Linked DNA regions of Mytilus edulis. The protein of the gene in region 1 binds, or shares a complex with, the protein of each later gene. Links are inferred from orthologs where the notes say so. Each region holds a gene or a part of one and is shown on either strand. Other genes may lie near its edges. The genes, in order: RNA transcription, translation and transport factor protein-like; protein archease-like.

Region 1 (17,089 bases):
AAGTAAACGACACCGGACGAAGCCGGACGCAAAGTGATGGGAAAAGCTCACTTGGCCCTTCGGGCCAGGTGAGCTAAAAATGGGGAATTCCCTCTGACCTGTTTCTAAATTTATAAAAAACACTAAATATAAATAGTGCTTAATTCTGATTTTCCGTGTTGTTAAAAACACACATACAAGTCAAGGGAAATACCCGCACATGAAGATTATGAGAAGAACATTATAGGACAGTTGTTTAAATTCAATCCTTCTGTTTTTTTATACCATTTAAAGCAAGACAATCTCAAGAATCTGAGATGTTCCTTGATGTTTAGAATAAAACGGTTGATGTGAGGGCATGGCCCTGAGTCAATGGTATAAGTCTACAGATTGCTTAAAAGCAATTGTATACCAAAAATCAGAAACTGTTGCTTATTTAGAGATATGTTACTGATTGCCACATGACCTATAGTTGTATCAGCCTCATTTGGACTCAGTTGGATAGTTGTCTTTTCAGCAAAAATTTCATGCTACATTTTTGTAAGTAGAAATAATAAAACTTAAAAGAACTGACAAACAGGAAATAGCTGCATTAAAGTTCTTAAAAATCTTTAACACAGAAAACCTTAATGAGTAATAATCAAGGAAATTTTCAAACACTGTGAGTAAAATAATCATTGAAAGACACTAAAACTCAAAAAGATAAAGTCCCAGACCAAATATCAAATCATTCTTCCATAAAAAAGCTGAATAATATAAAAGGAAGGTACAAAATTTATGTTTTATTTTCAGCAACAGTAACCATGATGTTTATTCTAGAGGAACATTAGAAAACAGTACGAGACTTCACTATTATTTGGCCTCGTTGCTTTAAAGAAACGATTTCTTTTAACGTTTCCAGATTGACTGATGATAAGACAATATTGTTATAAAGGGACATAACTTAAGAACAGTAAATTCAACGCTACCCAAATGTATACTTGATATGAGTATTGTGGTAATAAGCATTGTGTATTAGTTTCATAACATTTGAGGCAAACTAAAGGAACTGTGATGATATTGCCTGTCACAGTCTTCAATACCGATTAAATGAATTATACATGTAATTCCTACAAAACCTACTGATACTTACAATCTAAATTATCTAATGGATTTGAAGAGACCCCAGGGGGTGCTTTACTTTGTGTAACTTTCTCTGGTGTAACTGTTTTATACTGGTCAACTGAAATAAAATACATTTATGACATACATTTCAGTTTTCAAAAAATTAAATATTTCATAATTTTTCATCAACATGATCAAGATATTTTAAGTTCTTTTCTCTTTAAATTCTACTAGAACACACCCGCGAAATCGCGGGCATTTAGAGCGTAGTTTAAAGTATGTAAAGTGTTGTTGGAAGAATTTTGTAAAATATTGAATGACTGGAGAATTTCAGCAAAAGTATCATAAGTCATATATAGGTTATTTGGGACAGGAAAATGCTTTTTATTTTTCATCCCTCCTCCTTTATTTCCAAAATTCCCAATTTTTGGTTTTCTATCAATTTCAATATGAACATAGTTTTCATTTAGATTTATGAGTTTGACTGTCCCTTTGGTATCTTTCGTCCCTCTTTCATTTAGTATGTAATGAACATTTAAGTAAGGAGCCTGTAATTCAGTCGTTTGTTTATGTGTTACATATTTGTTTTTCGTTCACTTTTTGTACATAAATAAGGCCGCTAGTTTTCTGGTTTGAATTGTTTTACATTGTCAGTTCGGGGCCTTTGAAGCTGAGTATGCGGTATGGGCTTTGCTCGTTTTTGAAGGTCGTACGGTGACCTGTAGTTGTTAATTTCTGTGTCATATTGGTCTCTTGTGGAGAGTTGTCTCAACATGGCAATCATACCACATCTTCTTTTTTTTGTAATCAATGAATTTTGTAAAAGATTTAATGACTGGAGAATTTCAGAAAAGGTATCAAAAGTTCACATGAATATTTTTAGCGCTTATCTGTATATTATGAACATCATCGAGTCATTACTCTAAAAATATAGTGTATTTACTTTCAATATCGATCCATGGTGGTCATTGATATAGTATACAGACCCTCTCTATTTAAGAAACTCTGTGACCGCCGTGGATAGTAAACTTGAAAATGATAGCAAATAGAATTCTGAAAATACACTTTATTCTTTGTATATGTATGTACGGTTATGTATGTTCAAAGTATACAGAAAAACGCAAACCGGAAGTCTTATCTGACTTAAAATTTTGTCCAATGACGGGACAATATCCGGATGCCTTTTTTCTCGTTTTTCTCCCAAAATAACTCAATCTGAATAATCATATGAATGGATGACAAATGCGACTATGCACTGTACCTATAGGACACAGAGGCGTGTTGATTAATTTATTGTGGAAAGGAGAGAAGCGACACCAAAAATGAGGTCTTCTCGTTTAATAGTATAGATAGGTGAGATTAGATTTAAAACATTTATTTTATTTTTTTTGAATAAATGCATCCACACCATTTGAACATATTTAACTTTGGTGGATAGTTGTCTTGTATTAAAAATCATACCACGTTTTCTCATTATTATAATGTTCTAGTTTCCCCTCATTAAGACATTGTAATTGTATATGTTATCTGGTAGATTTGTGATACTTTTTTTTATTTTTGATTCAAGAAGCAAAAAAGAGACCTTATACTTTCTCCATTGCCCATCAACATTTACAGTTATGAGTCATCTTTAATATTTTTTCAGTTAATTCTTCTTGAAATTTGTGCAAAAATGCATAAACTGTCAAGTATCCATCAATCAATAACATAACTACCAAAATAGCCTCATTTTGAGATCTTATCTTTCAAATATTTAAATATGAGCAAAAGCTTTACCCAACAAGAATGTGTCCCCAGTACACGGATGTCCCACTTGCACTATCATTTTCTATGTTCAGTTGACCGTGAAATTGGGGTCAAAACTCTTATTTGGCATTAAAATTAGAAAGATCATATCATAAGGAACATGTGTACTAAGTTTCAAGTTGATTGGACTTCAACTTCATCAAAAACTACCTTGACCAAAAACTTTAACCTGAAGCGGGACGAACGGACGAACAAACAGACAGACGGATGAACAGACGTCCAGACCAGAAAACATAATGCCCCTCTACTAACGTAGGTGGGGCATAAAAAGTTATTTTGGTATAAACAGAATGTATTTACATATGTATGGAAAATATATTCTTTGTGGGTATTTCTGTAAGGCTGTTTGTTGCACATATCCAATTTGTCGGGAAAATATAGAGTGTGTAAAATGGTATTTTTATGTCAATGCCAGGAAAGATTATTCAAATTAATATAAATACACTTTTCTTCCAGCCAGAGACTTTTCTCAGAAATTGCCATTACTTAGTACCATTCTCCCAACTTGGCCAATATTCTAATTCCAATCTATATCTGTATTTCTTACCATTATCACCATATTCTAATCTGACTGAATATCCTAATATCCAATCAATTAATAAAGATCTTTGGGATGGTTGGTAAGGACATCCTAAATCCTCTAAATACTGCTGAAAATGTTTTGTCCAATCACTGCTAGGCATGTTACGTAGCCCTGTCCTATCTTCAATCTTATAATGTCGGATTTTCTGGTCTTCCAACCAAACAATAAAATTTCTAAAGTAGTTCTCATCTGAAAAATATTAATTTTAAGTAATATATTATATTACTGTCTATTGCCAATGTAACTTTTAGTATTAGGAGCTAACAACTACATGTACAAATGTACCCCAGGATCTATTCAAATTTCAAGTACAATTCTAAGACTTGTCATTTAAAAATTTTATCATTATATTTAGGAAAATGTCTGCAAGGGGAAGCTACAGAAGAAATGTACATGAACATGTACAATGTATTGTGTGCAAACATAATATTAAAACATAATTTACGACTTGTTTCACAGAAGGATGCGTTCCAATTTTCCTTTAGGAGCACATGCGATCTACCCAGGTTTTTGTATTGCTCAGTCTTTATTTTTCTTTGTTGTATTTTGTAGACTACTGTTTTCTGGGTTTTTTTTACAAGTAAATCATTGAGAGTGTACAGTTACCTGTATGACTTAAAACAGTCATAATAGATAGTTGATTATAACACCCCAAAGAACTTATGTTATTGTTATGTGACATGCCAAATACATTTATGTATAAAGCTTTTGCTTGATTTGAGTCTTTGCATTTCCATTCCTAACTATCTATTTCAAGGTTCATTTTTCATCCAAAAAATTCTTGTATCCAACCACTGTGAAATAAATATCATAAATACTGCTATCAAAATTGACAGCAGCACTTAAGAAAACCGCATCTTTTATCGATCAACATGCTACCCCGATTAGATCAGCATTAGATCAGCATCTTCAGGACGAAGTATACAAAAACATTTGTAGAATCTCTGAAGTACAAAATAAATGGGGAATGTGTCCATAGGGACACAGATGATGCCCCCACTAGCGTTTAACATTATAAAGGGACATAACTCATGAACTGTAAAAGTGAAGCTGCCAAAATTTGAACTTAAACTGAGTTTAGTGGTAATAAGCATTATACATGTATATACATTTCAGTAAATTTAGTTGAGACAAACTTTTAAAGTGAGAGAATGGAAATGAAAAAATTTAGTAATTTTTCCATTTGTAAAGGGGCATAACCCTTGAATGGTAATCAAAGTGCTTGTAATAAAATTGAGAATGGAAATGGGGAATGTGCCAAAGAGACAACAACCTGACCATAGAAAAAAACCAACAGCAGAAGGTCACCAACAGGTCTTCAATGTAGCGAAAAATTCCCGCACCGGAGGCGTCCTTCAGCTGGCCCCTAAACAAATATATACTAGTTCAGTGATAATGAACGCCATACTAATTTCCAAATTGTACACAAGAAACTAAAATTAAAATAATACAAGACTAACAAAGGCCAGAGGCTCCTGACTTGGGACAGGTGCAAAAATGCGGCAGGGTTAAACATGTTTGTGAGATCTCAACCCTCCCCCTATACCTCTAGCCAATGTAGAAAAGTAAACGCATAACAATACGCACATTAAAATTCAGTTCAAGAGAAGTCCGAGTCTGATGTCATAAGATGTAACCAAAGAAAATAAACAAAATGACAATTATACATAAATAACAACAGACTACTAGCAGTTAACTGACATGCCAGCTCCAGACTTCAATTAAACTGACTGAAAGATTATGATTTCATCATATGAACATCAGGCACAATCCTTCCCGTTAGGGGTTTAGTATCATACCATCATAACATATATGAGAAGAACATAACCCGTGTCATGCCAACAAATGGTTTTTTAATAAATGTGTTTAGTTCCGATGCAAAGACCCTATAAGTGAATCAATATTAACGCCAAAATATGCAATCTTTAATGACCTGACAACAGTAAGCACTGATTTGTAAAGATTGCTTTAATTTATCAGTTGGAAGTAAAAATGAATAAAGCATTGGGTCCAAGACCACAATTGTCGTCCCTTGATTTTCGTTGTCCACAAATATAGTCCATAGTGTTGACAGTGGGTTACTTGCCATTAATTTTTATACTCCTTAAAAATTTATTTCTCCATGTTTAATACCTCAAATTGCAAGTAGGGGGGTAAAAATTTGGGTCCAGAATTTTAAAGGAAAGTAGTGATTTGGTCCAGTTAAAAAAGGTTTAAAATAAGCACTTCAGAAGCTGTCAAAAGATTTCAAGACGCCCTAAACATAAAATTGTCCATATTTTGAGTTAGAGTCGATGAAGTTTTCTGTAATTTTAATATAATTTATCCCAAAAGTAGTACAACACACTTTAAAATTTTCATTGAGAAAGCGCAGGTGGGATTTTTTAATTTTTCATTTATGTTCTAAAAGAAATGCACTACGAAATAATTGTGGTCACGGACCATTGGTTGATTTAACTACCATTCTGGACAAAGAAAGATAACTCCAATTTTCAAAGATATTTTAAAAATGAACTTTTATATTTTCAGAACAGACATTTTGATTTTCTAAAAGGACATAACTCTTGAACTGTATAAGTGACACCACCAAAATTTAGTCTTGACCTGTGTTTTTTTGGTAATAAGCAATGTGTATAAGTTTCAATACATTTGGTTGAGACAATGTGTATAAGTTTCAATACATTTGGTTGAGACAAACTATTTAAGTTAGAAAACGCAAACCAATTTAGGAATGTATGGACTGATGGATGGACGCACAGATGGACAAGGGTAAAACTTAATGCCCCCTCTGCTACCGCAGGGGCATTAAAATAGTTTATGGATAGTTTCTTACTTCTGAAGTATAAAGCTTTTATGACACATAATTTACGCAGTTGTGGTTACCTCTGCCAGATTGTAATTGTGTATCTTGTATTCTGGGACTTTCAAAGCAGGCGATACAAAACCCATGGTTGAAACGACTTAACAAAGTGTGGCCCAAATGACAGTACAGTAGACGATAGCAATGGTATTGTCTAAACAAGTATGGTCGAACATTGGGTACAGTAGAATCTGTGTACACTCCCCATTTTGGCATTGATATTGATTTAAGGATTAATTAAGGTGTATCACTAACTTCAGGAACTTATACACAATTCACCACCACGGACAATCCGTTACCCAATTACCAGGGGGTGTAATGATACAGGACATTGATATTATGGAGGAGGAAGCCGAAGTACACGGAGAGAAACACGGCTGGGCACCGGTCTCATCGGTGCTGCATCTTATAAAAACAAACTGTTCTAAGCCCTATACAATACCCTACCTTCGGGATTAAACGTCTCTGGTTGAGGATAATCTAAAGCTAAGAGTTTTCTTTTGTACATAATTTAGCTAACAGGTTACAGAAAAAATAAAGTAAAAGTTTCCAACGACAACGTTTCCACACTTTGTGGTCTGGTTTCAGTTTTCATCATAAACCAGTCAATTGTGCACATGAGTTATTTGAGTTATTTCCCTTAAAGAGAAACCTAATGGAAGGACATCGATGTACCGTAAGCATACCCAAACTACCACAATTAGAGGTTGATGAATGTTTGTATGAAAGCTGCTGTTTCAAATATATTTATGAAGGTAAGGCCTGATGCAAAAGTTCTAGAGAAAATTGTCATAAATCAGGAAATGGTATATGTGCTAATAGCTTCAGCTCAAAACCTAAAAGTTATAGAAACAAACATTATCAAACAAACTGTCTTAATAAAATGTAAAGGTTTCAATGCTGTATGCCTTAATGTTAGACATATTCTATCTAAATTTGACGAGTTAAAAAATATAATTACTATAAACAACAAATATCTAGATTTATTTGGGTTAGGGAGCTACCATTTGATTTTTATGGGGTTGGGCTAGGATGAAAAATTTTGTCCTGCATTTTTTTTAGTTGTAATCTCTGTCCTGCCTTTTTATTTTTCACTCTATTCGGTCCTGCATTTTTTTCTTATTAGTTTATCCTGACTTTTTTTTACCTAAATGGTCATCCTGCCTTTTTTTTTTTGCAAAGTGTCTCATCCTGCCTTTTTTTTTAACTCAAAACTCCTGTCCTGCCTATTTTTTTCAAATTTCATCCTAGCCCCCCCCCCCCCCCCCTAAAAATCAAATGGTAGCTCCCTTAGTTGATACATTCTTAAAATCTACGAAGGCTACATGTGTCGGAGAAAATCGGACACGGAAAGGGCTTGAATTATTCGAGTTAATATTAACATTGAACAATATAAAGTGCCAGGATAAAAAATTTCAGAAAAGATCGCCAGAGTAAGGATGTTGGTGGCCATTTGGTTTATGTCAAAGATTTTATTGCAGTTAAAAATAGAGCTGATTTATCCATTAATACATTAGAAACTTTATGGTTAGAGGTAGAATTTCAAAAATCTAAACCTTTCTTCATTTGTACTCAGTATTTATAGACCACCAAATTCCCCTCAGTCCTGGATAGATCTTTTTGAGGAGGAATTTAATGCAGCTCTTTCAGAAAACAAAGAGATAAATTTAATGGGGGACTTTAATATTGACTTGATAAAAATTGAGAATAAAAAATGGATGAATTTCATAAACAATTTTAATCTTCAACAACAAATTTGCACTGCAACACGTATTTCACGGTGACAAATCGGAAACTCTAATTGATCAGATTTACACTACTAATCCTGAAAATATTGCCCATTGTCATGTTCCTTCATATGACCATATCCTGTATGCTTGAATAGAAAAATCAATATAAAGATAAAGAAAGAAAATCGTGTCGAAATAAAGTATAGGTGTTTCAAAAAATTTAATGAAGATGCCTTTTGTACAGACTTACATCAAACCCCTTTTCATATTGTTGAAATGGAAGATGATATTGATATTGCTGTTGACAAATGGTATGAACTTTTTAATCAAGTTATTAACAAGCATGCACCAATGAAAACTAAAAGAATAAAAACATTTAAACAAGCCGAATGGTTCAATGAAGAAATTAAAAATTCTATTCAATATAGGAATATGTATCATTCAAAAAAAGATTGGGTAAACTTTAAAAAGTGGAGTAATAAAACAACGTCGTTAATATTTAATCAAGGACGTATATATACAACTTAATATACGTCCTTGATTTAATGAGGGGGGCAAGGGGTTTAACTGTTATGCTGTTATGGGGCATTTTAATTCTTTGTTATCTGTTATTCTGAAAATATATTTACTGTTAGCTGTTATTGTCTTATTCTTTGTTAGCTGTTATAGGACTATTATCTATTTTGTTATCTGTTATTGTGAGAATGTATTTGCTGTTAACTGTTATTGAAAATTGGAATGTTAGCATTTTGACAGCCAATCTTCCGTAGAATTTGAAGATAATTGAAAATTGTAATTTGAATGGATAATAATCTCATTGGCACGCTTACCACACCTTCTTACAATGTATATCTGTTGGGGTCTTTCTACTGGTAATATCGGGTGGCCCTGTATTTGCAGAAGAATTTCAGTAACATACATCACATCAATCTTATTAAAAACCGATCTCTCATCGCTCCTGTTTCTGATATGTCGCGTGGGACGCGACATAACAGAAACAGGAGCGATGAGAGATCGGTTTTTAATTAGATTGACATCACATAAACATATTAAAATCAATTGGACCCAGGACCATTCCAGTATATATTATTATTATACTTTGTAATAAATTCCATTGTCTGTGAACATGTAGCATTTTGTACAAATTATAATTCACTTAATTATTACTTGTACATTAACTTATAGTATGGATTTTGTTATAAAAAAAGCATTGGAACACCCAACACCCTATAGATTTTTTTTATTCAATGACCACATAATAATGTTTATGTTGTACTGTTTCAACACTGTTCCTGATTAGGGGAGGATTGGACACCAACTAGCATGCTAACGTTGACGCAATCACATTCTGTATGTGCCTACTTTCAAGTCAGGATCCTGGATTCAGTGATTGTAGATTGTTACTGTATACTAAGTTTCTCGTTCACTATTTTGTGGATAAATTAGGCAGTTAGTTTTCTCCTTTGAATTGTTTTATATTACTAAGTGGTATGGGTTTGAATTATGACTTTTGAAATTATACAACATCTTTTTCTTTTAGCATTTATATTATAAGTGCTACTCCCCCCTATTTTCATTTACATGAAAGAGAACCCTGACCACCATATTTTTAAAAGCTTTTTAACTGCTTCACATGGCGAAAATTGAAGCTCTGAAACCATTGATGCAAATAAAGATGTGTCTTCAGTTTAATTTTTCAACAAATACCCTTTTAAAAATCCTACAGCTTCTCCAATGCTGTACCCAAATTTTCCATATTCTATAATTTCACATAAGATGCATGATTGGTGTTTCACTTGGTGTCATCCAAATTTTCACTCGGTCCAAATTCTATTATCCTATCAGAATTGTCACTTGAGGCAATTTCTATTATCAGAAGAACCATAACTGGCATGCGTGTTTCAGTTACATGTCCTGTCTCAACTGATCTGGGTATTTTTGTATTTTATAAGTAAGTTTTATCATGAGGTCATTAAATAAAAAAAATATATTGTGCATCAATGGTTTTTTTTATTACTTGTAAAGTATGTATATTGCTTTTCAGAAGAAAAAAAATCTAAAAATCAATTTGATAATAAAGTGTCACTGGCTGCACTATTTTCAAAAATTAAATAAAAAAACCTAAATCATTAACAATTGATCCCAAAAATGCCCTAGATTAAAAATTTCCCTATATCAAAAACAGAAACTAGTAATTTCGTTTAGAAAAATTCAACAATCATACTATAACTTATTGTACAAGTTACGGAAAAAATCAACCAAGGCAGAACTGCCTCAACGGCCGAAACGTCTTGTTTACACAAATTACAATTTTCTAGGTCCATACCACAAGTTATATACTAAGATCTACGAGTCATCTACTGGATTGGTCCTGGGCAGATTTATTTTCATATTTCATTTACTGTTATCTGTTATTATCCCTTTTCAATTCCTTGTTATCTGTTTTTCACCAAATCAATTCACTGTTTTGCTGTTATGGGGACCCCCCTTGCCCCCCTCTTTAATGCAAAAAAGGAATATTACCAAAACTATAACTAGTTCCAAAAATAGTAAAGAACTTTGGAATCATATTAAAGAGTAAAATCCAAAAGAGGATAATATTTTTTCCAACTAAAATGCAGTATGAAAATCAAACTGTTTATAAAAACCAAGATATTGTAAATACTCTTTATAAGGACTAGAACACACCCGTGATATCACGGGTCCGTGATTGAATTAAAGTATATAACTATGCGCAAGCCTTATTTTAGTATTATTATTGTCATCTGTTAAAGTCGTGCCGATTATAAGATACACAGTTTTTCTCTGCTTTCAAGTCTATCTGTTTGAACCCGTCGAACTGGAACTTATCAATTATTGGTAATATTAATTATTTGGAAAACAAAAGGTCCTGGAATGGAGTATTTTTTAATCAACAGCATTGTCCTATATAAGTTTTAAGTAAAGTTGAATTCTTTGCCTCGCTGTTTTACGTCATGCCCACTAACAAATTGAAAACTGTACCTACTGATACGCCTTATTTTTAGTCCAGATTTTTAGTATTCGTATTGTTATCTTAGAAAGTCTAACTGATTAAAATACAACAATAGGTAACAATTTGACAATTTAGTAGTGTCAACCCTGTGGTTATGACCCGTGTATATAGCATATTAATCCTGAATACAACGTTTGGTGGTGCGCCTGTCAGATGCGGAACGTACAGATAAGGTAATAGGTAACAGGTGAATATACTATTGGTATCGGTAGCGGACTCGACCCGGAACTTCTTCATTATTGGCAATATTAATTTAATACGTGGAAAACAAAATTTTTAACCTACACCTTTGTACTATATTAGTTATATATAAAGTTGAATTCTGTGATTCGTCGTTTTTACGTGATGACGGCTGACAAATTGGACCTCGTAATTTTAGTATTATAGATGTACTTAGGTGAGGTTTTGGAATTTGTGTCAAATGTTCGGACCCCTTGGTGTTTTTCCATACAATACAATGTAAAATATTTTGCCCCATAACACCCATTTATTTTTTCATTTAAGACTTAATAGCTCATGAAAGGTCATTTACCAAATTTCAGAAGATTCTTAATTTTCTTTCTTTTGCTTTGAGACCTAATAATACCAATGCAAATATAAGGTAAAAGCCCGAGTCAGCCTTTTCCCGCCATATTTTAAATCTCAAATATTTCGTAAAGGAGGTCCATGACCTATCAATATGTTTAGCTTATTTTTATCCTTAATTGATGCTCTACCAGCTTATAGTATCAATTTTAACTTCTCAATTTATTAATTTTCACCTAACCTCACCTAAGTACATCCTTAATGTTTATTTTTCATCCGTAGCTGAAAAACTTATTGGAAATAATACTTCAGATATTGATTTTTCTATGCTACAAAATTTTACTGGTAAAAAATTAAAGAAAACTGAAATTTTTTTAAAACTCATGTCTGTTGGAGAGGTGTGTTCTCAACTAAAACATCTTAATATTAATAAATCCACAGGTTTAAATGGAATTGGTCCCAATTTTTTTAAAGCTATGTGCAGAAATAATATCGCCATCATTAACTTTTTTAATAAACAAAAGTATAACTTCAAATCGTTTTCCGCAAAAATTAAAACTTGCCAGAGTAACTGCTATACATAAAGGAGGACCAAGAGATATTCCCTCAAATTATCGTCCAATTTCTATTTTAAATACCATATCTAAAATTTTCGAGAGACATGTTTCACACAGTTATATGAATTCCTAAACAATACAAAATTGTTACATATCGCCCAGTCAGGTTTCAGACAAGGTCATTCGTGCCATATATATCATTTTGTTCTGGTATCACCTAAGTTGGACAAAGGTAGTATACAGAAAAACACATTAGTTTACATAACATTGCATATATGTACATTTGTTGAGGAACAGCGCTAACTAAACTAATTGACGAATGGTTAAAATATTTAGATAATGGAGGAATAGTTGGTACAGTGTTTTTAGATTTTAGTAAGGCTTTTGACCTTATTACCCATGCCATACTTTTAGAAAAGTTAAAATTTTATCATATCGGAGAATACATGATAGATTGAATAAAATCATATTTGTCTGAAAGACAACAACAAGTCTAATACGCCAACATTAAATCTGATAAATCGTTTGTAAAGTATGGAGTGCGTCAAGGTTCTATTTTAGGTCCGCTGTTATTTTTGATATATATAAATGACTTACCACTTCATGTTATACAATCCAACATGAATTTATATGCTGATGATTCAACATTGCATTTTCATGATAAAAACATTGAAAAAATAAACAGCATATTGCAAAATGATTTAAATGCTATACAATCTTGGTGTAACAATAACAGTATGAAAATCAATGCACAAAAAACAAAGCGTATAAATTTAGGTTCAAAACAAAAACTTACACAACTATCAGAATTATGTATTACCGTCAACGAAACATGCATTGAGAATTTCCATTCTTTCAAATTACTTGGAATTGACATTGATGAAAATTTAAGCTGGGAAGATCATGTTGATCGTATATATGTAAAATTATCTCATCTAAAATATCACTTTTATATAAAATTAAAGTATATTTGCCAATACACACAAGGCAACTATTTTATAATGCATATATTCTACCATATATAGACTATTGTAGTTCAGTTTGGGGAAATTTTTTACAAAAAGATTCAGATAGAATCATAAAACTTCAAAAAAGAGTAGCAAGAAATATACTGGAATGCGATATTTCTATTCCATCTAATTTCATGTTTCCATCTTTAAAATGGCTATCTTTTACCAAAAGAATATTAAAAAATACCAACAATCAATTCTAATGTATAAAATTGTAAATAGACTAACACCTGATTACTTAGCAATGCTAAATATTGATGATGTGCAACACCACAACTTACGATGACGGATCTGTCTCCGGAGAAAGGTAGAAAGACCATTCACAATTTGTTTTACATTCGTTTTTGTCTTTTAATTAAATAAAAATAATAATAAACCTTTCATATGTAGAGTTAATCAGATAAAAATATTCCCTGTGGCCCCCCCTTTTTTTTTGTGCCCTCTAATTTCAACCCTCGAATTAAGCTTTCCAATCTAATTAAAATTAAAACCTTGCTTTCTAACCAATCTGTTCATGTACCGGACCGGCAACTTTCTTTATTTAATACGAAAATCTACAGTGCCGTTTAATATACACATGCATGTTGTTTGCTTGGAGTATACGCCCAAAAAGAAAGAAATAGCCTAACCCAAAGATACTGCAACACGTGATTTTTACCACGTCGAGCTTACATTAGAATAAATACCGAATATGGAAAGTGAAAATACAATTCAAAACATAAAGTTCGAAGGCACATATAAGAAAAAGAAGGGTTTTTTTTTGGCAAAGCGTGCCGTCGTAATTCTCTCTGTGTTCAAAATATACATGAAATATTTGCCACTGCCCCTTTTTTGTTCTATAAATTCTAACCCTGAGTTTTCTATCTGTTACTAATAATGATCTTTTTGTTCCAAGACCAAATACAAATTTTTATAAAAAAATCTTTTCATTATTCTGCAACCAAAGTATGGAATAATTTACCACTCGAAATAAAAAAAATGTCGTAATGTGGAATTATTCAAGAAACATTGTTATAAATCATTTTCTTGACAATTATATGCAAGTCAAATAATTTGTTTTCCTTTAACAAGACTTTATCAAGTATTGCCATTTATTACCATTTGTATATTTGAATGATTGAATTGTGTATATACTAGTAATATATATTGTAATTTATATTGTATTTTAATGTATGAATTTTAAGTGTATGCATGTATTTTGTTTGAGGGCCTTAATGAAAATTAGACTTACCGTCTTGAAATAAAGAATTTATTATTATTATTATTGTAAGCCACCCGAGAGCATCCTGTCCTATACTCGGTAGTTTACTTTAATAACACTTAAATACAGTGTGTGACTCATGTAGCAACTCTACATTTGTATTAAACTTCCCAAATTACTTGTCAGGTATGGTCTTCGGAATGTTTAATATGTATGTATTGAGCAATCCCTTGTATTCGAGTGTTACTGAGCTAATTTTGTTCCTAACGGCTTTCCATAGTTTTTATGTTTGAACGAGCGTCCTCCAACATCTATTGTTTTCATCAGTGTAAATTCATGTGCTTTTTGTATGTGTCCAAGTTCAATAAAATAAAGTTATCTTTCCAATGTTAACAGTTTTTATTTGTTCACTGTTAAAAGTATGTAACATTATAACATCGTAAAACTATATAAATAAACAGTTGCGTTCAAGTGTACTGAATCATAAATCCTTAAATACATATTTGTGGTGTCCGACGTGGTGGGAGATAGCTTACTGTACAAAAGACGGCTAATTACATATCATTAAACTTCATTATGTTATCCTTATTCTCACCTAAAGGTTATAGTTACTTTATTTGTTTTCCAAGGTTTGAACTTGCCGCCAGCAAAACTTTGGGCTATCTGCCATTGCTGAGTGCTCGCGCGTTTATATACTGAATACGTAGGTCTTGTTACCATAAAATCATAAATATCTGCAAATTTGATTATTGGAAATTTGGTTTGGTCACAGATGGTGTAAGTCACTCTATTGAAGGGCGGGAGGTTTTCATTTTGTTCACTGGGAATCGTCACATCACCTACTAGGACTGCCTGCTTGATAATCGGTGTTAAGGTAGATGAAGGAACTTGTTCTGTCAGTATATCCGAAATTATCCTTTCCTTTTTCTTCTTTTCCACTTCAATATTATGCTCCGCGGCAAGAATCTTTAAAGAACTGAGATTTAACTTATTTAAACTTTCCCGGGTCGCCATGTTGGTATCTAGTGTAAACAAGTTGCCGTCCGGAAGCGTTTATGCGCATGCTCGGGATTTATCGTGAAAGGGCTTATTGTCACGTGACATACTAATCCAATGGAAACTTGTCCTTTCCGGGAAGCCGGAACTATAAAAATTTCAGATAATGAAAAACATAATATACATATCATCTTAAGTTGTCCGAACATTGTCCTTATACATAAAATATCAAAACAAAGCTATAGCATCTAAAATATCGATAAAGAAGCTTGAAATAAACAATCGGACACCACTGCGCGCGCATTGATTTAGCAGACGATCTGCGTTATTACATAATACGTAAATAACATACAACATAGTTCATTTCAACCATCTAAATATTTACAATATATTTGTGTCCGGCAGGGTATACTTATTAAAAATCTTATCTGTGGTATTAAAAATACAATATTAGATCAAATGTCCAGGGGACGAATTGGTATTTAAAGATATCAAAACACATGTTTCGGTCCCCACAAAATGGCAGACGACAAAGTCTCCGTAAATAAACAATTCGATTGAAGTATTTCCCTATGTATATCAGGCATATTAGACGTTTAAATATGAATATTTGGTTACAAGAAATGATCCTTAATACGGGAATTACATGATATATAGCATGTAGAAGGTAAGCCATGAGTAATTACATACATTCCCTGCCGTAACACTTGTACAACAAAAAATGTAAACAAATGAAAAATTCATTTCACTTCCAGTGTTTTACACATTAAAAATTTGATAAACTTGATAATTATCACCCTAGTACTAACATATGTACACACCTAACTTGTAAAACTATGTTTTAGCTAATGAAATGCTTCCCCCCTTTATATTTGGTAAACAACAAAATGAAACTTTGGCCTGTGAAATCCATACATAAAAATAGTAAATTAATGCCATATCTTTGATTAAAAAAATGTTTTACTTGCTCGTGCGAGCCAAGTTACTATGCGTAAGAACACAACCGTTATGTTTAAAAGAATAATATTTCCTTTTTCTGAATTTATAATATCATAACAAGTACTTCCAATGCCTTACATTATTATTATTATTATTATTATTATTATTATTATTATTATTATTATTATTATTATTATTATTATTATTATTATTATTATTATTATTATTAATATTATTATTATTATTATTATTATTATTTATTATTATTATTTTTATTATTATTATTATTATTATTATTATTATTATTATTATTATTATTATTATTATTATTATTATTATTATTATTATTATGCAAGAATGTGTGATTTGGTATTTTTACAGCAATTTTACAGCACTGAAATATTCATGGGTATTCCTATCAAATATGTTAAAAATCTAGGTACAACTTTTCTTGTTTTCTTTTTACTTCAACTTGAACTTGTGCATAATGAGATGATAACATAAACGGTACCAAATCAGTTTCTGTACCAGATGTGCATTTTGACGATAAATGTCTCTTCAGTGATGCTGGAGGCTTAAATATATATTTGAAAATCCACGGCTTAAGTTAAAAAGAATGAAAAGCTATAAACCAAAAAATACAAAAAAGTGTAATTATAAGGCAGGACAAGGAATCAGAGCTTTGCATGAGGGAGATACCGTCATTCCTTAATGTTTGGGAATTGCAACAGGCAATTTCATGGACATTTTATTGTAAGGAGTAGG
Region 2 (16,687 bases), on another chromosome or scaffold:
TGTCACATGTGTCTTAAACAATGTTAAATATTTTCATCCCTTGTTATCTTGAATATATGTTTTTTTCAAATATGTATGTCATGTACATGTACGTGATAGTCAATAAAGACTCAATATGTATGTCATGTACATGTACGTGATAGTCAATATGTATGTCATGTACATGTACGTGATAGTCAATATGTATGTCATGTACATGTACGTGATAGTCAATATGTATGTCATGTACATGATCGTGATAGTCAATATGTATGTCATGTACATGTTCGTGATAGTCAATATGTATGTCATGTCATGTACATGTACGTGATAGTCAATATGTATGTCATGTACATGTACGTGATAGTCAATATGTATGTCATGTACATGTACGTGATAGTCAATATGTATGTCATGTACATGTACGTGAAAGTCAATATGTGTGTCATGTACATGTACGTGATAGTCAATATGTGTGTCATGTACATGTACATGATAGTCAATATGTATGTCATGTACATGTACGTGATAGTCAATATGTATGTCATGTACATGTACGTGATAGTCAATATGTATGTCATGTACATGTAGGTGATAGTCGCTTTATTTGGTTTAAACACTAACAAGCAATGTTTTGGTTTAATTTGGGTCTGATTTGTTGCAACTATTCCACCACTGTTGCATTTTTTTTATAACAATTCATTGACATTGCTTGTCAGCATTTTATTTTCCCAAGTATGGTAAATGGTTTAGAACAAAATGTTGTTTTAGTCATGATTTATAAGAATGAAGTGTGAGTCAGACTCTGCTTCAGTATCATCCCATTGTTGTCATAGTGATGATTTATAAGAATGAAGTGTGAGTCAGACTCTATAAGAATGAAGTGTGAGTCAGTTGTCATAGTCATGATTTATAAGAATGAAGTGTGAGTCAGACTCTATAAGAATGAAGTGTGAGTCAGTTGTCATAGTCATGATTTATAAGAATGAAGTGTGAGTCAGACTCTGCTTCAGTATCATCCCATTGTTGTCATAGTCATGATTTATAAGAATGAAGTGTGAGTCAGACTCTGCTTCAGTATCATCCCATTGTTGTCATAGTCATGATTTATAAGAATGAAGTGTGAGTCAGACTCTGCTTCAGTATCATCCCATTGTTGTCATAGTCATGATTTATAAGAATGAAGTGTGAGTCAGACTCTGCTTCAGTATAAGAATGAAGTGTGAGTCAGACTCTGCTTCAGTATAAGAATGAAGTGTGAGTCAGACTCTATAAGAATGAAGTGTGAGTCAGACTCTATAAGAATGAAGTGTGAGTCAGACTCTATAAGAATGAAGTGTGAGTCAGACTCTATAAGAATGAAGTGTGAGTCAGACTCTATAAGAATGAAGTGTGAGTTCAGTATCATCCCATTCTATATCAGAAGCAAGTTTGGCAATGCGTAATTTTTTTATCGATGATACCACCTGTATGTTTAGCACTCGCATTTGTTTTGTCACAGCTAACAACTGAATATTTAGGTTCCCTTTGAGGCCACAAACAATTTAACATGTTGTAGTTTTGTTGTTTGAACAGCAAGCAGTAGACTTTCTTTCAGAGCAATATAAATATGAAACTCCTGTTAAATAATACTTTATTTACATGTAGCCATGGGTTCTTACGGAGTTGTAGCCTTCTCAATTAATAATTGTATATAGGGAATTGATTATCTGACTTGCATACTTTAAAACATCCGCAAATCAGTCTGTTGTCAACCGTTTAACAGAATATATAGCTTTACTACTTGCTGTGTTGTTTTTCTGTCTCACCGACTCATGGTTTGCCAAATTTTTTTTTATTAACTGGTCCCTTATGTCAGTGATATTGTTGTCTTTTTTCAAAACTACCTCTACCGTTTTTTATTGGGAAAAATGCATATTTTTTATTGAATTTGGGAAATTTGTATTTTTTATTCTTAACACATTTCCGATTTTTTGCTGAACTTTGCTGTCTTTTTTGCACTGTTTTTTCATGCATATTTTGGTTGTCATACATTTTCAACCTGAAAGGTACTTTTCAGAGGGGGGAAAGAAACCAAAACAATGATGGTACTTAATGCATTGAAAACCACATGTGTTACAAACACCATGATGATTCTGATCAGAACACTGGATCTCAAAAGTGCTTTCTAATATCAAAATAATAACATGAATACGAAATTTACAAACATTACTACCAATGCCATCACTGTTTTGGGAAAATGTTAAAAAATTTGGGAGGAATTTTAAGCCCTTTTTTTTAGTAATTGGGAATTTTCTCTAGGGGAAAAGGCCGAATTTCGGCTGTAATTTGAGGCAAACAATATCACTGTATGTTTACCAGCCATACAGCTTTCAGTAATAGATCAGTGTTCTCCCCAGGCCGTTTTAGCATCGCGGTACCGCGACGCTATATTTTCTTCCTGTGACGCTATAATTATTTCCACGACGCTATAATTATTTTCAGGATGTTATTTTTCTTGTTTCTTTATGGCAAAGCCATGTCTTAAATTTTAAACTTTCATCTTATTACCGCTTGTGATAAAAAAAAATGTATCACCTTTAATTGAATCCCCTCAAGTCAGACAATAGGGGCAATATAGAGTAATTAAATAAGTAATTCCTTCCAACAGGGACCCAGATCAGTAATTTAATGTAACACTCTATTTTAAGACAAAAATAGAATTCCAAACTTTGATATTATAAAAATAGATTTATAAGAAAACAATTTATAGATAAATATAAATGACGAACATGAGAGAGGCAGGTAGTGTTTAGAACACAGATTTGACTTATAATTTGGATGAGGTTGTTGAGTAAACAGTATCTCAGTACATTGATTTTTCCTATTTTTTCACCTGCATTTACTTACCTTTACAATCAGAGCTAAAGCTATCCCATACTGAAGTCACATTAGTTAATACAGAGGATTCTTGATGATAGCTTGGATGTCTTCCTCTTTGAGATTCCATTACAGAAGATAATTGAACTGTCTCCTGTTTAGGAGAACCTCCAAATTCTAGTGCAGGAATAGGACCTACTTTCTGACCCAGTTGTGAAGGAGTTTTGTTATTTTGAGGAGATGTTTTCCTTGAATCTTGTACAGAGTCTTTCAGTGATATATCGTTCAGTGTCCGTAGTTGGTTTTCAAACTTGTTGATCTTTTGTTCCAATATTTGTCTATTTGTAGTGTGAACTTGTGTGCTCCCCTTTTCTGTCTGTGTGTCTATATTTGTTTCTTCCTTGTAACAAGGTAGATCATCAGTCTGAATCAACATATCATATGTTCTAACTGGATTTTGTTGTCCAGTTGTCTCCCTTGTTCGTTGTTCAGTTGTCTCCCTTGTTTGTTGTCCAATTTTCTCCCTTGGATTGTTATTTTGGTGTGTTTCTACCACTGATATAGTTTCTTCGTCCATACTAGTTTGTGTTTCAATGGTGCAACTGTTGATTTTATTTGTTAATGCTTGATGGGAGAAATTAGAAATAACTCCTGATTTTCCCTGTGATTCTGTATGGTATGGAACAACAGGTTTAAAGGGAGTTTCAGAGAAATCACTTGAGTTGGAACTTCTTGCAGAATTTATCTGATGAACTTCTGTCGTGTCTTTTGATTTGGCATGAATTTCATGATATTTTATAGAGCTTCTCAGAGATTCAATATTTGGTGAGTTACGTGCTGAGACATTAGGAGTAACTTCTCCAACATTTCTCTTTAGCTTGTGTTTCCTGACTCTGGGCTTGCCCAGTGCTGCATGTGGCCATTCCACAATGACTGATTTACTTTTTTCAATATCAGAAACTATCTTTTCATACTCTGATTGCATTCCTTTAAACCATTTTCTGACTATGACTCCTCTGATCCATGCCTAAAAGTAAAACAAAATTCTTTTATCTGTAATTTTCCCCGTCTTTTTCATGTGAAAAATCTGTAAACCAACAAATTAAAAAACCCTGGCCTTAGTTTAAAAGCACAAAAATTTGTAAGGGTTCAGCGGAACCCAGTGTCTCGCCTTCTTTTGCTATAAGTCACAGACTCAACCTAGATGGTGAAAAATTATTAAAAATTTCCGCTGGATATTATCTTTTGATTTGAAGAAGCTTCTGTGAGTTTGGTTTATGAATCTAAATTTTTTTTTTAATTTTTTAACTGCAAACTGTACATGCTGCATGTAATGTTATCTTGAAAAAAACTAAGTCCATTTATACATTTGTTATAAGTACAATGAAGTAACAACAGAAAACAGGATTTTTTTTTAACAAAATGTCCTTGTAGACGTATTTACTATCATTTGGTCATAAACAAGCTTCTGTCCAAGTTAGGTACAAATTCAGGATAGATAAGAAAAATTTGTAATTAAAAAAACCTTAACCATAGAGTGAATGTAATCTTAACTGGCAGAAAAAACAACATGCACACATGAAAACAGTTAATCTTTTTGAGGCTTAACAAGAATGTGTCCATAGAACACAGATACCCCACTCACATTTTCTGTTTGATAACACAAATATAAATTGTACAAAACTTTGATTTTCCTTATTGTTCTTCATCCCATAAATTTTAGAATTGTAAAATGGGTAAAAAAGGGCTAACTGCGAGTGAGAAAAATATGTCAGTATGTTTATTAGGACAATCATATGAACAGCATTGTATTAACATTGTAATGTTTGATTCGGCCACACAAAACATGATTAACACATTTTGTAACAGGCCTCGACAATAACGCTTGTCTGATTGTCTGGTACCAGAGGGAAAAAAGGTCAGACAGTAAAAGCTGTATCAAGCTTGTCCGTTGGGGCAAGTGCAATTATTCTGCAGAAAATAAGTTTAATCCAATTTTGATGAACAAAGTAATAATAAACAAAAAACAAGAAAACAAATATTAATTTGACAAGTTTCTGTATTCTGTTTATTCAAGTGCAAAACCTTTTTCTTCGACATGTTTACTAATGCAATCGATAATTTTTAACTGGTTCTTTGTCAAGTACTTTTTAACAGGTAAAAGGTATACTATTCTTACTAATCCGAATCAATGATGCGCTTTGTAGATAAGATAACTTTACAGGACAGTAAGTTCGTCACCTCGTCACCTCGAAAGATTCAGCTCCAAGTTCAATAGACAGTTTGGCACAGTGGGAGACATATTTAGTAGACATGGTTGATAGACAGTTTGACATGGCAGGAGACATTTTGAGACCAAGACAAATCAGTACCTCATTTTGCTACCTTATTCTGTTCCTTATAATAAATACCATACCCGCAATTTTTTTCACAAAAATATTTATTTTTAATAGAATTTTTTTGGACAAGTAACAATTTCATTCGGACAAGTAAGTTTTGGTATGTACTTGTCCTACAGGACAAGTTGAAAAAAAAACTATTGTAGAGGCCTGTAAAAGGGAATATACATTGTATATTGTATAAAACAATGATTTAAGTTGATTCAACTACTATTCTGGACAAAGAAAGATAACTCCAGTTGAAAAAAAAGCTATTGTAGAGGCCTGATTAACCCTGCCACATTTTTGCACCCTTCCCAAGTCCATGAAGTCAGGAGCCTCTGGCCTTGTAAGTCTTGTATGTTTTCTTATTTTAGTTCATTTATAAAAGTGTTTTGGATAGGTATAGGAAGTTGTGGTGTGAGTGCCAATGAGACAACTCTCCTGGCATCCAAATAACAATTTAAAAAAATAAACCCATTATAGGTCAATGTAAGTCCTTCAACACGGAGCCATTTAATTTCCTTCTAGATATTATATTTTGATCATAACAAGTTTCTATCCAAGTTTAGTACAAATCCAGGATTGTTTAAGAAAGTTATTAAAATTTAAAAAACCTTTAACAACAGACATGACAGAGTGAATTTGTATTGTTTCCTGGCAGAAAAACTAAGTCAATTTTAAATTAAAATATGGAAAAAAACAAATTATTTTTTTAACAAATTTACTTCTAAATACTATTTATGATCATAAACAAGTTTCTGTCCAAGTTTGGTACAAATCCAGGATAGTTTAAGAAAGTTATTAATATTTTAAAAACTTTAACTGGTCCCAGAGTGAATGCCATGTAATGTTTACCACATCATGCACATGTACACAATCATGTACAAGTGTAAAGCAAAATATTGTCCTATGAAATATTGTACCACAAGACAATATTTCATAACTATGTAGCATGAAATATTGTGCTCGTCTATGGAAAAATGTCCAGAGAAGGACAAATTTTCATAGCGAAATTTTGTCTGTATAAAGACCATATTTCTCAGATAAATGTTATGGAATTTTGTCTTGTTAAAGGGAGGTTATATTTTGTGTGAATTGAGGCAATATTTCACAGATAAATACTATGAAATTATGTCCTATTAAAGGAAGGTTATATTTTGGTTATATTTTGTGGGTATTGAGACAATATTTCATAGACAGATTGTCATGGAATTTTGTCTCATGAAGGGGAGGTTATTAACATATATATTCATGTTAGAGAAGCCTCAAGGTATATAGGATTTTTTTCCTGCAACACATGCTTGTGTATAAATTTACAAAATAAGTGATTGTCAGTTCATTACTTATATTTGTACAGTATACTGTAATAAAATGAAACATGCGTAAGACAATTCTTTAATCTATAATACATGTACATGTAAACCATTTGTAATGTATCTATATGCAAATTTAAAACTCACTATTAGTAATTATATAAATTCCTTGCTATTCAAAACAATTTCAGTTATAAATCTAAAAATGTGCATGCTGCATGCTTGTGTACTATTTCTAATTGTATAATAATTTGATTAAAAATTATTTTCAAAGCCAGTATTTCATAGTGTAGTATTGTCATGAACAGAATTTCATAGTGAAATATTGTCCAGAAGGAGGTGACAAAATTTCATGGACAAGGACAATATTTCATATTATTTATTATGAAATACTGTCAGTGGACAATATTCTATATGAAATTTTGTCCGAAAGACAATATTTCATGGGGGACAATATTTTATGTTACACTAGCAGCAAAACTTTACAATTAAAATACGAAAAAAATAGAAATTTTATTTTTGCAAAATTTACTTCTGGATACTATCTTATGATCATATTAAAACAAGCGTCTGTCCAAATTTGGTAGAATGCTATGTCTGGCTTTTGCTAGCAAAAATGAGTCCTACACAGAAACAGAACCGGGTCCTATCGCCCAAAAACATGATCACACCAATTCACATTCTCTCCCTTTAACTCTCGCACCCTCGATTGCGCCCTTTTTATTGGTGTTGTGTTTATTAATATTATGTTATTGTTTAGGGGTCAGCTTAGTCAGTTATAGTCCAAGTCATAATTATTTGGACTAGGGTCAGCTGCAGAATTTTCTCACTGTGTCGAAGACATATTGGTGGCAGTCCATTGGGCATTTGCCATTTCTATTCTCAATTACTAATACTATATAGTATAATTTAGTCAAATAAAGGCCATTCTGACTACGGAGGCGATTTTCCTCCTTACAGTTACTGTCGGGTTTTTTCTTTTCTACTGCAGTAGTAATGTCAGGATTCTGAACACAACAAAAGTAAAATATTAAAGACCTGGATCTTAACAACATGTTGTTCATCAATTTCTAAATCTTCAAATTCACCACTATCTTCGCTGTCTTCCATGTTGGAACAAATATCGTATCTATGTCTCTGATTGGTCAATTCGGACGGAAGTTCATTCGGAACAAGGCTTCTAAATTTAGCACAGGGGTTTTACGTTGATAATAACACTCTTGTTCATTGCACAATATTTATTCTACGACCAAGTATATATATACAAGTACACATATTGTATGTGACAAAAACGATAAAAACACGTCAAAGATGGCAGGTGGTGATCAAAGAATAATTCCAGACATCAAATATGAGTGTAAGACAAATAGTTTATAAAACAAGATAACTCGTACTTTCGGCAAGTCGTACTCAACCAACTCGTACCCTATTTTTACCAACTCGTAACCATGTTTTATTTGATATTATTTATCAAGTTTATATGCATAGTTATTGTAACTTTCTTTCGTATATCATTAAATTGAGCACATCAAATGGACCAGAGTGATACCGTATTTTTGATAATGTCCACTACGAAACGGGTCAAATCTCCTTCAGTATCTGGTTTTAAAATTATGAAAATAATATCAGTGTACAGCTTGATAAATGCTTTGACGAATACAATCAGTCTTGTTACGATTGCAATATAGGGATTGTGGGAAAAAAATAAAACATGCGAATACGTCCCTTACGAAACGGTCCCCTACGAAACAAGTATGGAAGAAAAACGTTTCGTAGTGGACACTACCACTCCCATGCATTCTTTTTTTAATCTTTTTTCAATTATATTCGTGCAAAACAAATAACAAGGGTAAGTTTCATGTAATTTTTATTATGTGTTTATTAACATATGATAGGGTTGATGTCAACTACGAAACTTTTTGTCCACTACGAAACGGTTTTGTCCACTACGAAACGCATCAAAATGTCCACTACGTAACATAAGTTGAACCTTCATATGTGAAGTACTGTCTAATCTTTATCGATAAAAATGGTTTTCCAATTCAGAAAAAAATGATATTTTTCTAGTATTTAAAGTAAACAAACTGGAATGTTTATAGGAAACATTTAAAATTGCAAAAAACATGTGTGTTTAGAAGACGTTTCGTAGGGGACAAAAGTCCCCTACGAAACAGTACACAAATTATGAAAATAATATCATTTTAAAGAATATTTAAGATTGCACTTAACACGAAAAAAACTAAGACATAACGCAATGTTCAGTAAAAAATATCCTTTTCATATTCTATGGATCTACATGTACCTCAGGGTGCACTGGGATACTTCAGGGAGTTAAAATATCCATTTCTACGGATATAAACGAAGAAAACTTATATTATAATGCTAAAAAAATATTGGGTGCGACTTAGTAGAAGTACGAGTTGGTAGAAGTACGAGTTGCCGAAAGTACGAGTTGGCTGAGTACGAGTTGCCGAAAGTACGAGTTGACATGTATCCGATAATAACACTCTTGTTCATTGCACAATATTTATTCTACGACCAAGTATATATATACAAGTACACATATTGTATGTGACAAAAACGATAAAAACACGTCAAATATGGCAGGTGGTGATCAAAGAATAATTCCAGACATCAAATATGAGTGTAAGACAAATAGTTTATAAAACAAGATATAATTTTAAAAGAGTCAAGAGGGTTGTAAATGTTAACTTGTACATGTTGTAAGGTGGTCTCATTGGGGAGTTCTGATCTCAGAACCCCCTTACTATTTTGTCAGATTCACGTATTCTGCTTACACTATGTATGTAAGCAATTCTCTTTTTTTTTTGGAATTTCCTGTGTCCCGCTGGCGCTAGACCTCATTTCCAATTTTCGCGGCACAATAATTTGACTTTCATGTGTCACGCTTCCAAAAATCAGCAATCCTGCATCACGCAGAGACCCCAATGAGACCCACTTGCAATGTGGGTATGACGAATAACGGTAAAAATTCTTTCTAAATAACGTTGATGCATACATGTGACAGAGTTGTCAAGCCACAACTGGAGATTTGGAAATTTTCAGCTGGAGTTTTGGTCTCATAACTGGAGATTTTTTATCAACCTTTTTATTGACGTACGCAATGGTTTTTTTTGTGTGTTAAACACCTGCATATCAATTTTTACTTGATAAAAATAAAAGATAAGAGGTTTTCAAATATTTATTCATTATGTATAATTCAAGATAAAGTGATCAGTCATCCTACATGGTTCTGAAAAGCGGGAGATTTTGACTCCCGCCAGTAGAATCACATGTATGTTGATGGTAATTTTTGGTGCATGAAAATAGAATGTACACTTTCTATTAGAAAACAAACAAGTCCTACTGATCATGCTGATTCTGAATCATCACGTTAAATATTTTCCAAAAATGAGGCAAATGAAAATAATAAATTATTTGAGATTTCTAACAAATCATGTTTAGGATATTTTGAAGAATCATGGTAAAATTGTTTATAATTTGACACTAACGGTTGCCAAAAATGACTGTTTGATGCCTGACAATAAAGGGCATTACTACTCTCTTACAAGCCACAACTTGGCACAATTAAGGCGGTGGCTATGCTTAAAATGAAAAATGTAACAATAATGAAAAGGTTATATAGGGGGGGGGGGGGGGGGGGGACAATACCTTTTTGTGTTAACCTGTTATTTTCAAGGTGTTGTTAACTGTTATCTGAGATCAATTTAAGCTGTTAACTGTTTTTTTAACCAACTTTGTTAACTGTTGTCCACATTTTTGCATTTTTTGTTAACAGTTTTTGCCAAAATCGAGGTGTTGTTAACATGTTAATGGACCCCCTATTGTCCTCCCTCTATATAGCATCCTGGTAAACAGGAGAAATTGAAATACCATCTTGTTTCTAAAAATTAAAGCATCACATGTACATCCATAACATAATATATAAGAAAACCTCTTCCATGACTTCAGATAACATCACATTTAAGATTATAGCATCACATTATCATGATGCTAAAAGGCCCTGTGGAAAACACTGATTGTGTAGTTACATGTACACCGAACATGCCTAATATACCCATTTTATTTACACATATACATGTAATATACACATTGTTAATCTTACATGTCTTACTTACACATATATCCACATTGTTAGTTACACATACTGTAAAATCAGAAATTTTCGTGGGAGATTTAATTTTGTTTTATATTTCTTGGAAAGAATATCTCCACCAAATTAAAACCCCTACAAAGATTAACCTCTTTATCATACCACTTACATTTAAGGAAACTACACAATTAAATCCCCATGGAATCTTATGGAGAGACAAAACCACTAAATTTTAACCCCACAAAAATTAATGTTTCTACAGTACATACACATTGTTAGTAACACATGTATACACATTGTAATAAGTTTGTATTTGTTTTCAGATCTAGATCATACAGCTGATGTGCAGTGAGTATAACCATTAACTGAGTTAAACAAACCTTTAACTGAGTTACACAAACCGTTAACTGAGTTACACAAACCTTTAACAGAGTTACACAAACCTTTAACTGAGTTACACAAACCTTTAACAGAGTTACACAAACTGTTAACTGAGTTACACAAACCTTTAACAGAGTTACACAAACCTTTAACTGAGTTACACAAACCTTTAACTGAGTTACACAAACCAAGTTACACAAACCTTTAACTGAGTTACATAAACCAAGTTACACAAATATTTAACTGAGTTACACAAACCTTTAACTGAGTTACACAAACCTTTAACTGAGTTACACAAACCAAGTTACACAAACCTTTAACTGAGTTACATAAACCAAGTTACACAAATATTTAACTGAGTTACACAAACCTTTAACAGAGTTACACATATCTTTAACTGAGTTACATAAACCAAGTTACACAAATCTTTAACTGAGTTACACAAACCTTTAACTGAGTTACACAAACCTTTAACTGAGTTACACAAACCTTAAACTGAGTTACACAAACCTTTAACTGAGTTACACAGACTGTTAACTGAGTTACACAAACCTTTCACTGAGTTACACAAACCTTTAACAGAGTTACAAAAACCTTTAACTGAGTTACACAAACTGTTAACTGAGTTACACAAACCTTTAACTGAGTTACACAAACTGTTAACTGAGTTACACAAACCTTTAACTGAGTTACACAAACCTTAAACAGAGTTACACAAACCTTAAACAGAGTTACACAAATCTTTAACTGAGTTACACAAACCTTTAACTGAGTTACACAAACTGTTAACTGAGTTACACAAACCTTTAACTGAGTTACACAAACCTTTAACCGAGTTACACAAACCTTTAACTGAGTTACACAAACCTTTAACTGAGTTACACAAACCTTTAACTGAGTTACACAAACTGTTAACTGAGTTACACAAACCTTTAACTGAGTTACACAAACTGTTAACTGAGTTACACAAACCTTTAACTGAGTTACACAAACCTTTAACTGAGTTACACAAACTGTTAACTGAGTTACACAAACCTTTAACTGAGTTACACAAACTTTTAACTGAGTTACATAAACCTTTGACTGAGTTACACAAACCCAGTTACACAAACCTTTAACTGAGTTACACAAACCTTTAACTGAGTTACACAAACTGTTAACTGAGTTACACAAACCTTTAACTGAGTAACACAAACCTTTAACTGAGTTACACAAACCTTTAACTGAGTTACACAAACCTTTAACTGAGTTACATAAACCTTAAAATGAGTTACACAAACCAAGTTACACAAACCTTTAACTGATTTACACAAACCTTTAACTGAGTTACACAAGCTGTTAACTGAGTTACACAAACCTTTAACTGAGTTACACAAACTGTTAACTGAGTTACACAAACCTTTAACTGAGTTACACAAACCTTTAACTGAGTTACACAAACCTTTAACCGAGTTACACAAACCTTTAACCGAGTTACACAAACCTTAAACTGAGTTACACAAACCTTTAACCGAGTTACACAAACCTTTAACCGAGTTACACAAACCTTTAACTGAGTTACACAAAACTTTAACTGAGTTACACAAACCTTTAACAGAGTTACACAATCAAACCAAGTTACACAACATGCACAAACCTTTAAAAGAGTTACACAAACTTTAACTGAGTAACACACACCGAGTTACACTAACCTTTAACCGAGTAACTCAAACCGAGTTACATAAACCTTTAACTGAGTTGACAAAAATATTCTGAATCCAGATTTCCTCATACCTTATACATGTTAAAGCGTTAAATTTTGAAAAAATAATTTGATTGATAACATTGAAAAAAATAAAGGAAAAAATATTTGTGCTTAGTGTGATAAAAATTTCTGACTCAGACAAAAAGACAAAAATCTATAAGCATTGATTCATTTTGTAAGTGAATATTAACCATGTTAACATGATAAAAAGTCATTAATTATTTATATATATGTTTTAGGTTGCATGCATGTATCCTTTTGTTACCCAACAATATAAATAAATCACAGGTAATGAGAGTGTATGTAGTATATCATAGGTATGGACAGATATATTTGGTTGTTTAATGAATTATGTAATACATCTGAATCTTCATGCACAGAAATCAATAGAGAAAATGTGGGAGAAGTTATTAATCAAATGCAGATGCTATACACCAGAAAAAAGATGGCTAGATAATACCCCATGTAATGCTAATATTTCTGACGAAAGTGATCATGATTATTGCATTAATTCTAAAGTCTGAACGATGCCTCCAGTTTTTTTAATAATTTATAGATCACTTTTAACTCATTATGCAGACATCTCAAATAGAAATGTAATTCTATATTGCAGTTAAAATAAATGTTTTTAATTGTCTACATACGAATATGCATGTAACAAGTCAGGAATATGACAGTTTTTATCCATTCATTTGATACGTGAGAAGGTTATGATTTTGCCATTTGATTAGGGACTTTCGGTTTTGAGAATTTTCCTAGTAGTTCAGTATTTTGTTGTTATTTTTTCCTTAACTTGAGATTTTCAGGGGGAGATAATTTAAAAGAAGCATTTGAACAATGTGCAACAGCCATGTTTGGTTATATGACAACAGACTACAGTCGGGTAGAAATGACAGACACACAGGAAATAGAAGTGGAAGGTAAGGTCATGACACCAGACTACAGTCTCGTAAAATGACAGACACACTTAGGTCGTATTGTGCATTATCGCTGTTTTACAAAAATTTTACATTTATTTTATTGACTTATAATTCTTTTCTCAGCACAGTAGAGTGATATGAAAAATTATCGCCAGTAATTATGGGCGCACATGCTGTTGTCAAAGAAATAGACAACGTTGTTTTTGGTAATATAGCAATAAACAGATTAGCATTGGTCATCTTAGCTTGATTGCTTTTCTCACTTTCCCTGTACCAGCTCAAGCTAGAAAATCTATCTTGTTGTTTTGACCAGAGATAATCTATAAGTATGAGTATGTATGAAGAAGACTTTAAGGATGTACTTATGTGAGGTTTTGGAATTTGTGTCAAATGTTCGGACTCCTTGGTGTTTTTCCTTACAATACAATGTAAAATATTTTGCCCCATAACACCCATTTATTTTTTCATATAAGACTTAGAAGCTCATGAAAGGTCATTTACCAAAATTTAAGAAGATTCTTAATTTTCTTTCTTTTGTTTTGAGAACTAATAATACCAATGCAAATATAAGGTAAAAGTCAGAGTCAGCCTTTTCCCGCCATATTTTAAATCTCAAATATCTCGAAAAGAAGGTCCATGACCTATCAATATTTTTAGCTTATTTTTATCCTTAATTGATGCTCTACCAGCTTATAGAATCAATTTTAACTTCTTAATTTATTAATTTTTACCTAACCTCACCTAAGTACATCCTTAAGACCTCAATTGTTAATGCAGAAGTCAGCACTTTAATCATGTTAATGTTTTCATCCATCACACAAAACCAGTACATGTAAAGAAGACTTTAAGCTGAAGGACGCCTCCGGGTGCGGGAATTTCTCGCTACATTGAAGACCTGTTGGTGACCCTCTGCTGTTGTTTTTTAATTGGTCTGGTTGTTGTCTCTTTGACACATTCCCCATTTCCATTCTCAATTTTATTTAAGACCTCAATTGTTAATACAGAAGTCAGCACTTTAATCTTGTTAATGTTTTCATCCATCACACAAAACCAGTACATGTAAAGAAGACTTTAAGACCTCAATTGTTAATACAGAAGTCAGCACTTTAATCTTGTTAATGTTTTCATCCATCACTCAAAATCAGTACATGTAAAGAAGACTTTAAGACCTCAATTGTTAATACAGAAGTCAGCACTTTAATCATGTTAATGTTTTCATCCATCACACAAAATCAGTACATGTAAAGAAGACTTTAAGACCTCAATTGTTAATGCAGAAGTCAGCACTTTAATCATGTTAATGTTTTCATCCATCACACAAAACCAGTACATGTAAACAGGGGCGTAGCTACCCGGAAGCACGACAGCACGTACATCCACGTCGTTTTCACAAAACAAACAAAAAAACAAAAACAAAAAAGCAGAAGAGAGAAGGATGAGTTGGTCAATCGGAATCGGAGACTGTTGGTGTCTTTTCCGTCTATCGCGGATATTAGTTTGACAATCTAGTTACAAGTGTTGATGAAGCTGTTCATTCAGAAAAAGATTGTAGGTCCGAAGTTGCGTTCACATTGATTTGGCATTCAAAAAAGAAATGGCAAAATAAAAATTTATAAATTGAATGTTAATAAGGGAAACACCTATGTCGTCACTTTTTTTAATTGATGAAATATCATTAAATAACGACATTTGGTTTCATAATAAATTTTTTTTTTGAGATTATGACAAAATCGGAAGGTAACTTGTATCTTTTACAAGATTTTTACTTTTGAATTTGTAATACTCAGTCTAAGAATAAAGATATGTAGTTTTGGAGCACATTTTACAGTGTACAGTTCATCAGTTGGGAATGAGATGTACCAATCGGCATTAATTATCAGATCCCTTCGATATCGTTGAAAATATGCCAAGGCGATGTGGTTGACAAACTACCGGAGACAATCACCCTGCAACCACGCCAAAACAGTATTGGAAAGTCTCATTATTTTTTGCGTTTATATACCATTTGATAAGGCCACTGGACAGTGGAGTCGCATCAAGTTATCAGAAAATCGCTTCTTTGTGCTGTATCTGCTTCATCGTGTTGTAGGAAATATCACAAACGAACAAATCTCAATATTGTCTGAAACATAAGAAACTGACCTAGCATGTAATTTTGACGAATTCAATTGGGAGGTCGCTCGATGCGGAACACGTACGCTGGTTTATAACATCTCGCGAGTGCTACCATGCCATGATGGCCCTGAGATCTATCAGTCACGGTACTACGTATGTAATTGAAAACAAATGTACGATCAACAATGAACAACGAAAGTTACATAGCATTACTGCATATTCATCGGGATTTGAGTGTGAATGTTGACAAAGTGATAGAGAAGTTTGTTTCTGCCCAGACCTGAAGAGCAGATTTTGGACAATTTTGAGTAAATTCTGTATCACAAATATGTGTTGTTTATGTATTACTATATTCAGAAGATTTTTTAATAGTTTTACATTCATAAATTTTTATCAACATATAGCTCCTCTTTTTACCGTCCTATGACCGAAAACCGAAAAAAAAAAATCTGCATAATAGGGTCCCAAATTTTTTTCGCATCGCTCCGCTCGGCGGTAGTTGCTTCCACATCGTTTCTTTCTAGCTACGCCCCTGGTAAAGAAGACTTTAAGACCTCAATTGTTAATACAGAAGTCAGCACTTTAATCATGTTAATGTTTTCATCCATCACACACTATCAGTACATGTATGAAGAAGACTTAAAGACCTCAATATTTTAATGCAGCAGTCAGAACTTTAATGTTGACATAACATTTCATGGATATAATTAAAAAAAACAAAGGATATGGGGTATTCATCCATGACACAAAAACAGTAGATGTACAGCAAAAAAAAACACATTTTACCATATAAGGTAAACGTCCAATTTAAAATTATCCAGTTCTTTGACCACATTTATTCGAGTAACTTAATATGCTGTATCAAATATTTAATCACAACC

Evidence for each region.
Region 2: RNA transcription, translation and transport factor protein-like (region 1) and protein archease-like share a complex: the UniProt entries of both Homo sapiens proteins name them as parts of the tRNA-splicing ligase complex. The link is inferred for Mytilus edulis from reciprocal best matches to the Homo sapiens genes RTRAF and ZBTB8OS.

Annotation. Positions count from the first base shown.
Region 1 is NC_092346.1:102,671,142-102,688,230, forward strand, and holds the start of RNA transcription, translation and transport factor protein-like, read right to left. Parts: upstream 6,952-17,089; 5' UTR 6,841-6,951; coding exon 6,780-6,840; intron 3,662-6,779; coding exon 3,437-3,661; intron 1,202-3,436; coding exon 1,112-1,201; intron 1-1,111. UniProt on the Homo sapiens protein: RNA-binding protein involved in modulation of mRNA transcription by Polymerase II. Component of the tRNA-splicing ligase complex and is required for tRNA ligation.
Region 2 is NC_092355.1:81,404,040-81,420,726, reverse strand, and holds the start of protein archease-like, read left to right. Parts: upstream 1-7,715; 5' UTR 7,716-7,843; coding exon 7,844-7,889; intron 7,890-9,030; exon of another isoform or gene 9,031-9,132; coding exon of another isoform or gene 9,133-9,178; intron 9,179-10,969; coding exon 10,970-10,994; intron 10,995-13,010; coding exon 13,011-13,021; intron 13,022-13,577; coding exon 13,578-13,691; intron 13,692-16,687. Other genes in the region: uncharacterized protein, read right to left, coding at 2,869-3,865, 7,571-7,642. UniProt on the Homo sapiens protein: Component of the tRNA-splicing ligase complex required to facilitate the enzymatic turnover of catalytic subunit RTCB. Together with DDX1, acts by facilitating the guanylylation of RTCB, a key intermediate step in tRNA ligation.